3 linked regions of the Cricetulus griseus genome follow. The protein of the gene in region 1 interacts with the protein of each later gene in a biochemical or structural test. Links are inferred from orthologs where the notes say so. Each region holds a gene or a part of one and is shown in the gene's direction. Other genes may lie near its edges.

The links.
Region 2: the proteins of Stam (region 1) and Arrb1 form a complex in vitro, tested with the Homo sapiens proteins (2 studies listed by BioGRID). The link is inferred for Cricetulus griseus from reciprocal best matches to the Homo sapiens genes STAM and ARRB1.
Region 3: the proteins of Stam (region 1) and Usp8 form a complex in vitro, tested with the Homo sapiens proteins (2 studies listed by BioGRID). The link is inferred for Cricetulus griseus from reciprocal best matches to the Homo sapiens genes STAM and USP8.

The regions. Positions count from the first base shown.
Region 1 is NC_048596.1:218,589,723-218,594,006, reverse strand, and holds the start of Stam (signal transducing adapter molecule 1), read left to right. Parts: upstream 1-1,474; 5' UTR 1,475-1,679; coding exon 1,680-1,719; intron 1,720-4,284. UniProt on the Homo sapiens protein: Involved in intracellular signal transduction mediated by cytokines and growth factors. Upon IL-2 and GM-CSL stimulation, it plays a role in signaling leading to DNA synthesis and MYC induction. May also play a role in T-cell development.
Region 2 is NC_048596.1:99,980,184-99,984,195, reverse strand, and holds the start of Arrb1 (beta-arrestin-1), read left to right. Parts: upstream 1-1,203; 5' UTR 1,204-1,425; coding exon 1,426-1,481; intron 1,482-4,012. UniProt on the Homo sapiens protein: Functions in regulating agonist-mediated G-protein coupled receptor (GPCR) signaling by mediating both receptor desensitization and resensitization processes.
Region 3 is NC_048599.1:51,808,537-51,812,602, reverse strand, and holds the start of Usp8 (ubiquitin carboxyl-terminal hydrolase 8), read left to right. Parts: upstream 1-1,257; 5' UTR 1,258-1,413; intron 1,414-4,066. UniProt on the Homo sapiens protein: Hydrolase that can remove conjugated ubiquitin from proteins and therefore plays an important regulatory role at the level of protein turnover by preventing degradation. Converts both 'Lys-48' an 'Lys-63'-linked ubiquitin chains.

The DNA.
Region 1 (4,284 bases):
TATATTTCCCTAATGTCAGGATTAAAGGTGTGAGCTATAATTCTCTTTTAGATTGATTCACTGTTGTGTAGATCTGGGTGGCCTTGGACCCACAGAGATCCCTCTATCTTTTAATCCTGAGTCCTAGGATTAAAGGTGTGTACCACCACCCCCTAGCTTCTGGCTGCTGGGATTAAAGGTGTGTCTGGTCTCTATGGCTTGTGACTGGCTTTGCTTTCTAAATCCGCAGGCAAGCTTTAAAAATCATAAATAATATATCATTACAATCCTTGGATCCTTTTATCTTTTGTTTGTTTTACAGGGTTTCTCTCTGTAGCCGTGGCTGTCGTGGAACTTGCTCTGTAGATTAGGCTGACCTCAAACTCATGTGATCTGCTCGCCTCTGCCTCCTTAGGAGAGTGCCATAGTGCACCACCACCGCCCTCGAGATTCTTTTTGTTTTTAAATGACTGAAAACATTACCCGCTACTTTAATGTGTTTATCTCTCTTCAAAATTTTGACTTCATTTTAAACCCAGTTTTGTAAGCAAGCTTTTTTTTTTTTTTTGTACTGTCATACCAATCCTGTTGTTGTCATATATCTGTTTATAGGCTACATTTATGTGTTCCTATTTGGGCATCCTTCACATAATTTCACTGTATGTGCAAGACGAGCTTTCTAACTTTACGTAATATTTCCAAGAAATGATCCCTAAGATTTCCACATGATTTAGAGGGCTGTGTGTGTGTGTGTGTGATACAAATGTACAAACTAGATCACCAAATCAACATTTTAAGTTGCCAAGAGTCCCCATCAATGTCTGGCTCCATTTTTCGTTTGTTTTTCCTGCTGTTGGGTGTGTGTGGTTATCTCGGGCTGCAGAGGACTAATCGCTCAGGCGGCCCAGTGACTGCACGTTTAGTCAGTCGGTGCCGACACCCGGAAAGCTTCCCTCAGATCTCAGGCTGGGGAAGGAGCCAGCGTTAGTTACCTCAGCCTCTCCAGAGGCTGCGCGCCTTGACACTCCCTCCAAGGGATTCAAGCCAGTTCCACCAGCTCACATGACTCCATCCCAGCAACTTCCTCGTCCCCTCAGACAGGCTCACTGAACATTTTACTCGGATAACCCAAAGGACTGTCTGACCTTCTAGAGGGATTACAACAGTGCAACAACCCATCGAATAAACTCTGAGAGTCAAAACGAAGGGCTTGGCTGGACCCACACTGAAGCCTCTTTCTTTCCCAGTGTCTGAATCACTCCAGAGGTGCTTAGTCGGCCTCGGCGCGCCTGAAGGACCTCGTCCTCCCGAGACTCCCGGGCAATGGAAAAGCCGAAAACACAGCCTCTAATCCCACCGACACGTGGGAGATCAACAGAGGAAGCCGGAAAGGGGTCTCGTCGCGTGCATCGCGGCGGAAGGGCAGGATTCTCGTCAGACTCGGAGCAGGCAGTGCTTAGGTCGCCTCGCTTCCCGACACGCCCCGCGCGCGCGGGGGCCTGTGCCGCTTCTCCGCTGTGGCCGCCGCCGCCGCCGCCGCCTCTCTTGCCGGGGGTGGGTGAGAGGAGGGGCTGAGGAGGATCCTGTGTAGGCTGTCGCCGTCGCTGTTTTTGTACCTGAGGGGCCTCCTTTCTCCGTCGTACCTTGACTCCCGCGGTGTCGAGGGGCAGTCCCCGGGGACACCTCGGCGCGCAGCGGACATGCCTCTCTTTGCCACCAATCCCTTCGACCAGGATGTCGGTAAGTGTTTTCCTCGCCCGCGGGACTGCGAGCCCACGCCGCGCCCCCCCACCCCACGCATCCATTCTGGGCTCCAAGGCCGAGCCCACGTTCTTCTCTCTGGGGTCCCTCGTTCCGAGTCGGGAGAAGCTCGGGGACTCGGCTCATCCTCTTGGAAAGAAATGGGTCTAAGAACCTCTCTAATGGGCCCTGCTACGGGACTCGGGGGGCTCCGGGGGAATTGCTTCAGGGATTTGGGGTGACGGGTTGCCTCGGGAGGAGCAGCCGACGGAGCCATCTGCCGCTGGGGCTCGGCTTCTGGAGGAGAGCAGAGGGCTGGGGCGCATCTTGGCTTGAGCAGGTTGAATATAAGCCCCATCGCTAAAGTATTTGCCTGGCCCAATGGAAAGCATATGGGAAGCTCCAGGAACTGGCAAAATGTTTTAGGTGAGGTTACTTGGGGGGTGGTGGTGTTAAATAGCTCCTATATCGGTCCCTGGAGGAGAAAGGTCTGGTTACGGGTAGATGGAAATATCGGGAGAGATGAGGATACGCTACTTGGCAACAACCGGAACACAAGAAGACGTGAACCTTTGGGATGCTTTCCTCAGGCCGGGCCTCTCTGCCCTGGGGAAGTGGGGAAAAGGATTTTGCATCCAGAAAGGGGTCTGAAATGTTACATTTTTGTTGTTTTCTGAATCATTATTATTAGAAATCGATCGTATCAGTTAAACAGGTTAACTGTCTCTTTCTGGCCTGAAGGTAATAATGGCATTTGAATTTCTTGAAAGAGAATTTTTGGGTTGACGAATTCATGCAGGACTACGCTAGCAACAAAGTGTAGAATGAAAGCAAACCAATACCATATCCCCAAGCCTGCAAGACTGATTTTAACAATCCCAGTAGTAAAAGAATGTAAGAATAACTTGTTAGAGTGGCTTTATGAATTTTGTTTATGAGGGGTGAATTTTAAATTTTCCTCTTAGAACTTTTTATAACGTCGCACTGGAAATCCTATTACTGCCACTTACCGATTGGTTCATAGCGATTTAAATGAATGTCCCGAATCTGAGCAGTGGATGGAACTTTAGAAATCATCAATAATGCTAAATAAGTAATGAATTGGAAAATTGTGTTTACTAAGTGCTTAGCACCAGTACTTACAGAACACAGTGTTCATTGACTTTATATACAACCATGAAGACCATTGCATTGCTGTACTGTATCAATATAAAATGATATTTGGTGCTTCTGTTCCCAGCACTTATACCTATATCTAGTTTTTCGTTTGTTGTTGTTTTGAGACAGGCATCTCCTAAGTGCTGGAATTAAAGGCGTGTTTCACTATAGCTGCTCCTATATCTAGTTGTAATGTCATTTTGCTTCCTGCTAATCAGTCTCGTTTATTGGCTCGGTTTGTTTTTGTGGTGTAGGGAACGAAACTCAGGGCCTAATATTGGTGTTCCTTCTGATTTTTTTTTTTTTGAGCCCACATTTGCACTGGATTCAGATAGATTTTTTGTTTTGTTTTTCGAGACAGGGTTTCTCTGTGTAGATTTGTAGATCAGGCTGGCCTTGAACTCACAGAGATCTGCCTGCATCTGCCTCCCAAGTATTGGGATTAAAGGCATGAGTCACCACTGCCCGTATTTCTTAGTGTTAAAAAACCTGTTCTTGCTACCCATGACATCCATTTCAAACACAGGCCCCTTCTTACTTTTATGTTTTTGTTTCTATTATTTAATCTGCCTTTCTACATGCCCTTGTGCTTTAAGGTCAGTTTAGAATCCAACTTGTTCAACTTGAATTATTTGCTGATTCTTGCAACCTGGAGTTTCTTGTAACAACGTTACTGGCAGTTTGGAATAGATAAAATTCTTAAGGGATTATATTCTATACAGTGAAGAGTGTTAGCTTTGGTTTTGCCCTTTACTCAGTAGATGCCAGTAGAATCTCACTGCCAGTCATGATTTTGGAAGTCTTCAGGCGTTGTTTACTGTCTCTTAGGGTGTTTACATACTTTGTGTTTCTGAACTATTGTGATTTTCACCTTCCCAAAACTCCTACAATTTTTACCATTTTTTGTCTGTACTAAATCAAGCATTAGATATCATTGTGTTCTTTATTTTGATCCTTGTTTAGCTGCTACATAGTCATCGAATAAATGCATGTTGAGTTGAAAGTATGTTAAAACTGCTAGACATGGATTCTTAAAAAATTCAGTTTGACCTATAATGATAACCATCAAATTCCCTGCTTATTTGTATTTACCAATTCCAAAAAAACCAGTTCCTCATCCATTTTTAAATTGAGGCCTTAAAAATTTTTTCTTCTGTTCTTTATCCATAAGTTTCTAGGTCACAACTTTTTCTGGTTTTCTGCTTAGCTTTTTAGTCTTTTTGCCTCCCCCACCCCCAGTCTAAATGTTGAGCAGCCTGGGCTCAGTAATAAAACCTCTTCTGCTTTGGCACTTTGTTCTCTTAGAGCCTTAGGAGGCTTGGTGTTAAGTAGAATTTGGAGTGATTTGCTTGAATTCAAGTTATCAGGCTTGCTGTTTAACAGCAGTGTGACTTTGAGCTAGTTGGT
Region 2 (4,012 bases), about 120 Mb from region 1:
AATCAAGGGCTGCTGACACCTTGATTTTAGCTCAAGGAAGCCCACTTGAATTTCTGAAGCACAGAACTCTAGTTAAGTTTGTGTTGTTTGAAGCCACTGAATTCGTGGGACTTTGTAAATAGCAGCCACAGAAAATGAGCTTGAAGGGTTTGGGGACCCATGGATGGTTCCTTCTGTGCCTCTGGCTGAAAGTGGCATGTGACATTTGCACCCGCATTTCATTGGTCAGAATAAGCCACAGGGGGGCGTCCAACTCCACAGGAAGGAAGATGCCTGGCATCCCATACATCCAGCCTCAGGGAATCCTGGTGCCTGTAGGGAGTATCTAGTACATCTTTGTTGCCTGTAGCACTTGTTTCTATAGTCTAGTCCATCCCATTTCATTAAAAATCAAAAAATAAAGCCAGGTGTAGTGGCACTTATGAGGCTGAGGCAGGAGGATCTCTGAGTTTGAGGCTAGCTTGGTCTACATAGTGTGTTTCAGGATAGCTAGAGCTACATTTGTGAGACCCTGTCTTGAAAACAAACAACCAACCTCAAAATATAATCAGGCATAGGAGCGCATGTCTTTAATCCCAGCACCTGAGAGGCAGAGGCAGGAGAATCACTGTGAGTCTGAAGCCAGCTTGTTTGTATTTGAGTTCCAGGACCCTGCCTCAAAAAAAAGGATCTCTGTGTATGTACGTACTGTATGTGTATGTGTGCGTAGAGGCTAGAGGTCAACTATGGATGTCTTCCACTATCATTCTTCACCTAATTTTTTGAAACAGGGCCCATCACTAAACATGGAGCTTTCTGTGAACCCAGAGCTCTTTATGTAGGCCAGACTGTGTGGCCACAGAAGCCCCCGGGATCTGCCTATCTTTGCCTTCCCAGTGCTGAGGTTACAGGTGCAGCCTGCCACATATAGCTTTTACATGGGTACTGGGCATCTGAACTCAAGTCCTCATGCTTGTGAAGCAGGCGATTTATCCACTGAGCCAGCTCTCCGACCTGTAATGTTTTAAGTAGGTTTCCTAATCAACCAGTGACTTGCAACCTCTGGTTTGGACAATACTAATCTCCAGAGCCTCTTCTGCTCATGCTTCATGGACCACAGGCTATGTCCTGGACACAGGTGATTGGGCCAGGGGGTGGGGTACCTAATCAAAGCTGACCAATCAGATTCCTCTCCTGGGAATTTGGAATTGGGCCATTCAGTCAGTTAGCAGCGGGAAGCTGAGTGAGAGGCAGGGTAGAAACAGGGTTGGAGTGTGAGTCACATGCGAGCCCAAAGGATGGAGGAGCAGAAAAATCCCTGAGTAAGCGGGGCGCGCTGGTCCACAGAGACAATGGAGCAGCCGCACAGACAGCCTCGCAGCCAGGAGGCCCTGCAGCAGCCCCAGAAGGAGCGGTGGAGACAGGGAGCTACGGCTTGAGGCTCCGATGGCGTCCCCATTCTCAGCTCCGGCCCCAGCGCATCCTGCCTGCTCATCCTTCCCGTGAGATTTTGGCCTCCTTATTAGGACCTCCTCTTCTTTCTCGAGCTATCCTGAACCTTAACCAGGAAGGACACTGCTGGTCTTTCTCTTTGGGGAACCCAGCTGTGACTAAGGCTCAGGTTGTGGGGCACAGGCAAGGCTGGGGGTGAACAGACGCAGCTGCTCAGCAAGGCTGGCTGGGATTGTGGGCTTAGGTTAGGCCACGGGCAGAGAGGTCTATGCGGTGTTGCACACGTGGGGTTGTGGAAACGGAAAATACCCCATAGAGCCTCTTTTCTGACAGTGTTGGGGCAAGAAGTGAGTGGAGTTTTGAGTGGTGGTGCTTGGCTATGTGATGGAGTGGTTGAGTCTCGTGGGTGCCTCTTCGAGCCTCAATGTCTCCATCTTTGAAATGGGATTGTCCAGGAAGAGCCTTGTCCTGGGAAAAGTACTTAAAGGCATGAGTGGGGAATAATAAACAGACAGAGAATGAGGCAGCTGCTCTTGTTGTTTGAGGAAGCCACAAGAGTCCTGGCTTCCTGAAGGAGGTGGCCTCGGGTGCTGACTAAGGTAGTGGCAGGACATTCCCCACTGATGGCTGTGCTTCCTGCCCCTCTTCAGCCCCACTCTGCCCCTCACCCCAGTCACCTTTCATTTATCCCTCTCTCCCTCCCCTCTTGTCTGTTCTTCCTGCCGTTTTGAAACATGGATTTAGGAAACAGTGGGTTGGATTAAGGCACCAATCTCTGGAGGCCCAGTCAGAAGTGAGTCTGGGTCCCGACCTAGCCCCTTGCTTGCTGTGCTCCTGGGCAAGTTAATGCATCGCTTGGAGCCTCCAGTTAATTATCTGTGGAGTGGGAGTTAGACTATCCTTTCTACTATGAGAAATAATGAGCTGCTCGGCAGAGCTTTAATTCCCCTCCCCTTTGCCTCTCTCCGCTGCTTGGTGAATATTGCTCCTCCTGGCCCCACGTGTGCCTCGTCCTTCCCGGCAGCCACTAGAGTGGCTTTCTCTCTCAGTTGTTTATCCTGCCTGGGTGTGAGATCTTTCCTTTTCCTTAGAGCACAGGCTACCAAGGGCTGGAGGTAATTGTGACTTGGAAGCCACAGGGTTTTCACTTCTCTGGTTTCCTGGAGAAACATGGAGCTCCTAGCTTCTAGCTTGGAGTTGCTGGTTCAGATGGAGTGGTCTGCATTTTTTTCCCCTTACTTTAACAATTATCACACCCTGGCCAGTTGTGGCTTCTTCACACTCCCAACACTGATAAATATTAATGAGAAGACAAGGCTCCCAGGGCCCCTAGGGGAATGTTTGGGGAGAGGCTGGGCCACGCTCTCCTTTGCAAGCAATACTCAGACCTGTCAATATTCCCTAGGTCCCAGAAGGGAGGGTGAGGCAGGGCCATGGCTGTGGAGACCCCACACAGTCACAGGCCTGGATGCCTGCAGATCAGCTTCTGGGAAGGATTGGGGCACACCCTGCTGAGGCTGCCTAGGGGTTTCACCTTTCTGGGTCTGTCCCATCTCTCCCTGCTTCAGGCTTTCTGATTCTTTCCCTGGTTTTCTTCTCCTCCTGTCTCTTGTTCATCTTTTATTTTCATACCTCTACCTCTGTCTCTCTCTTCTCTCTTCACACCTCCCCTCCTTTCAATACCTTTCCTCATCCCCATCTCTCTAGCTTTCACTTTTCTTCTGCCTCTCCCCAGTAATGGCTGAGAAATTGTGGGCTGGATAAAGGTACTTAGGCGAGGGAGACTCGGGTTCCCAGACACAGCTCTAGAAGGGGAAAGGTTGCCATGAAAGGCAAGTGGCACTCTTCAGGATTTAGGGACTACATTACCATCTAATCTCAGGCCCAGTGCTCTGCTATTCGAGCATAGGCATCTGCCCCCACATTCCTGTGCCTCTGTCCCTCAGTGAAGCAATGAAATTCATTCATTTATCTGTTCAACTAGTTTATATTGTACTCTTGCCACCCTCAATCATTTAACAAGTATTTCTTGAACAATAGTGACGTGTGCCTTTGTGTGTGTTTGGGATGTACCCGTGGACAGGAGAGACAGTGGGCATATTTGGAGCGGGCATGCCAGCAGAGCAGACAGGTGGGGCAAGAAGTAAAGTATATGGTCAGGGGGTTGCTGGGAAGAAAGGAAGAGTGAATCAAGAGAAGGACTGGCTGACAGGGGTAGTGGGATTGGGAAAGTGGGCATTTGGGAAGAGTGTCCAGGGTAAGAGAGTAGGGTAGGGGAAACTGGGAGCAAAGGCCTTGTGCAGCAATCACCTGGTGGATAAGGAACGAGGAACAGAGGGGCTGGAGAGCAGTGAGGCTGGAGACTAAGGGAGGGTGGCAGGAGGTGACATAGGGAGGGAAAGAGGCCAGGTCAGATCACTGGGACTTAGCAGGCACTGAAGGATTTTCCTTTACTCGAGCTGGGTGGGCTTGTGAGTCTCCCTCAGCCCACTCTGAAGGATTGAAGGAGGGCTGCAGGCAGCTAACATTCATCCTAGGAGGAGAGGTGGAAGGAAGGAAGCTGTCCTGCTCTGAGGCTTTG
Region 3 (4,066 bases), on another chromosome or scaffold:
TAGAATATGCATTCAGTAAATGCATAGTTTTAAAAATATTGTTTTGTCTTACTTTTTTTTTTTTTTTTGAGACAGGGTCCCATGTAGCCCAGACTGGCTTCAAACTTCCTGTGTAACAGAGGCTGTTCTTCAATTCCTGATCTTCTTGCCAAGTATTGGGATTACATCTGTGTGTCACTGTTGTTTTTCGAGACAGGGTTTCTCTGCGTAATAGTCCTAACTCTCACTTTGTAGCCCAGCCACAATGTTATCTTATTACAATAGTCTTTACATGTTGGTGAAAAACCAATAGTATGCAATATAGTGTTGATTTTTGTTGTTGTTGTTGTTTTGATTTGGAGCTCTGGAACTCTGGAAATCAGGCTAGCCTTGAACTCATAGAGATCCACCTGCCTCTGCCTACAGAGTGCTGGGGTATTAAAGGCGTGCACCATCACCACCCAGCTAGTGTTGATTTTTTAAGTAGAAATACAAGAATATTTTTTACATGTGCCTAATTGTACTGGAAAGGAAATTAACACAAATGTTATTTTTTAAGGCTGTATGTGAAGCACCGTTAGTGGACTGGACACTTACTACTTTTTATGGTTAATGACTGCCTATTAGGTAAGTACTTTTACTTTATACACTTAGTAGACATGTGTACTTCCATGCATTAAACATTTGGGCTGTCCCTAAGGATTTATTGACCAGGGCCAACAACTCCACCCTAAGCAACGTTATGTACACAGATAATCGGAGTAACTCATCCTTTCTCCATAAGAGTGCTTAGGTAGACTCTCCCCAAAGTCCAGACCCCTGCTTTGTAAGACTGGGTCTTTAGGAGATGTTGACTGAGTCTCTGCAATGTTTTCCGAACATGTCTTGTTCTTTAACTAGAGGACTGGATTTGGAGGATGCTTATTCCCAAGTTTTAGAGGTATCAATCCCCTTCCCGTTTTTTTCCCCCTAATTTCAGACCTGAGAAGAAAAATACACAGTTGAAGAGGTTCTAGAATATCCTTGCTTACTCCGCAGAGAGGTCCAAGGCACAGAATGACACACGTCAAACTTGATACCCCTCGGAAATGAGAGGCGCAAGGAACCCGGAAATACCCGACACGCGCTTCCGTCCCACACAGGGGCAAACCGCCCCTCCTACGCATGCGTAGATTGCTCGGCGCTCGCTCGCCCTTCCAGAGCAGGCCATCCCGATGTCCCTCCCAGCGAAGCAGAGGGAGGAGTTACGGGGCTACTGGAAGCCCCGCCTCTGCCGTGACGTCTAGAGACGCGACGCGTCGCCACGCAAGGCAAATCGGGAAGAGGGATGAGCTGCGCAGGCCTGCGTCTGAGAGCGAAGGCTCGTTCTCTTTCGGGTGGTGGGCGATGGGCGTCGGGCGAGGAGGCCGGCGTTAGCGGAGCGCGGGCGCTGCGGTGAGTGCGTCCAGGCTCCGGCCCCGGTTCCCGGGGATGGCGTCCGCCAGCTGCTGGTCATCCGGGAGACGAGCCCCGTCCGCGGAGGGGTGGGACAACCCCAGACAACTGGCTGGCCCAGCAAGGGCCCGCACTCCTGGTCTCTCGCGTTGTCCTCCTACGGTTGCCCGTCTCAGAGGGTGGCCTTGGCCAGTTCTCCTTTCTCTTGGACACTAGACCCGACTTTGGTCTTCTTCCTTTTGCTTCTGTGTTTTGGTTTTGTGCTACCTACAATCCCAGGCCTGACCACAACAACTTGTCATGTTTTTCCTAATAACTGTGACCTAGTCACGCAAGTTTTTAGTGAAGAACAAGAAGTGAATTAAACAGACTCCTCACACTTAAAACTTATTCAAAGAGGGGGTTTTCTTTTCCTAAGATGTGCCTTCGATTGTAGACTTGTGGCACAGTCAAGTTCATTTCAACTCGTATGTCCTGAGGGAATTGTCAGAACCCCAGATTGCAGTTCATTTACTTACAAAGCTGCAGACCCGGTTCCTAGGTTTAGGTCTTGTTTTCAGTTTACTCTGTGACCTTGACCAAGTCAGTCATTCAAGAAATATTTACTTGACTCACAGAGGTGTTGCAGAGTCTAAGGAGTTTAATATTTATTAAAAGCTCTAGGGTTACGGATCATAATAATGCCTACCTAACTGAAGGATGCAATTCTTGTTTGGAAGTCGCTTTTTAGAATAGGCTGGCCTCGAACTCAGAGAGATACACCTGCCCCCACCTCTGGAGTGCTGGAACTAAAGACATGCACCACCACACTCAGCTCCCCGTGTTGTTTTTTTAAAAGACCTCTGCTGCTTAGCTTTGTGAGTAGGTTTTGCTGCATTTCAACTCTTTCTGTTTAAGACTCCCTGTTGTCAGTCAGTCAGTCATGCTGGATTTAGGTAGTTTCTCATCTATAGAGTACCGTGCCAATATGGTGATAGTGACTCTATTCATGCTTCTTTAATTACATTTAATTATAACTAATAATTAGGATATATCTTAATTATGCCATATTATTGTAGATAGTGAAAATGTATATTCCTGATCTTTTGACTACATATTAGATTCGTCTTTTAAAGTTGAATTGCAAGTACCTTTCAGTTATGAATAATTGCTCGTAGATAGAAATAAGAAAAACTAACAAGAATATTTAAAGGTGTCTTTTTTATTTAACTTGTTGATTTATTTGCTTGAAGTTTATTAATCATTATGATCTTTTGTTTGTTGATAATATAAATGGGATAGAATCCAGAGAGCTTTGTAAATAAGACAGCTGTAAAATAAAACCAGTACATCAAACTTTATTCATAAAATGCTTAGTATCCTAATTTTCTAAAGGGAATAAGACTTATTTTGGCTCACAGTTTGAGTGGCTTCTGCCCAAGATTGGTTAGACCCATTGTTTTGTGTCTGAGGTGAAGCAGAGTATCTTGGTGGTAAGAGTATGCCATAGAAATTGTTCACCTTATGGCAGTCAAGAAGCAGAAGGTTTGCATTTAATTTTGTTACAAAAATAATCGACTGAGTTTAGAGTTATCAGAAAGTTCAACTTGGACTGGTTTTCAAGATTGCTCATTCATCTGGATAGTTGTTGATGTTAGTTGCAGCTGGGAATGATAACTACATACAGCCTCTTTGTGTGGCTTGGCCTTCAGGCAGAAAATGGAAGCTGTCAGTCTCCGAAAAGCCTGTACCAGGAAATTGGTACATTAGTTTCAAAAATATCCTATAGGTTAGATCAATCAAAGAGCCCTCCCCATCAGATGGTAGTCTTACACCATTTTTGTGTTTATGTATGTTTGGTACTAGGGCACCCAGGGCATGGCACATACATATCAAAGCACTGCTATGACCTGTTATACCCACAGCCTGACTTCTACCTTTTAAAACAAAAAGCTCTCAAAACCACTTTATAGGCTTCTGACATGTATGCATCAGTGGACACCCATATACAACACACATAACTGTATTTTGTATGTATGGAATATTCTAAATACTTAACCAAATATAATCCAAATATGTATATAATTGCTCTTAGAAACTAGGGGTATTTCCTTCCTTTCTTTTCCTCAGCATTCTAATATTTTTATTCTAGTTCCTTAGAATTCTTCTTTTCCTAGTTTAGCATTATACTTTCCTTCATTGCAATAATGTCTATTCTTTTTCTGAATCTTTCTTTAGAATGCTGAGTTTGGGGCCTTAAGTAAAATACTGGCTGTAGAAAAACAAGGGTTCAATTCCTTGGTGATTTATTTTCTTGATTTTAATAATTAGGATATAATGTCTATGGGTTTTTATTGTGCATATTTTTGAAAGTGTCTTACTGTGACCAAGGCTGGCCTCTAACTCCTAGGCTTTAGAGATCCTCCTGCCTTAGCATCCTCAGGTAGGTGGAATTAGATGCATGCCACTGTCCAATGTCTGTGTTTTTAAAGAGTATTATATGTGTTTTAAAACATACTACATAAAAACAAGGAAAATATGATTATTGTAAAATGCCCTTTCCAGACTCAAATTTGGGGTGCTTAGACCCTGGCTTCAGACCCAAAATTGAAGCATATAGAGCCTTTAGGAGGTGAGGCCTGACTGGTAGAAGTTTGTTGCTGGGGGTAGCTTG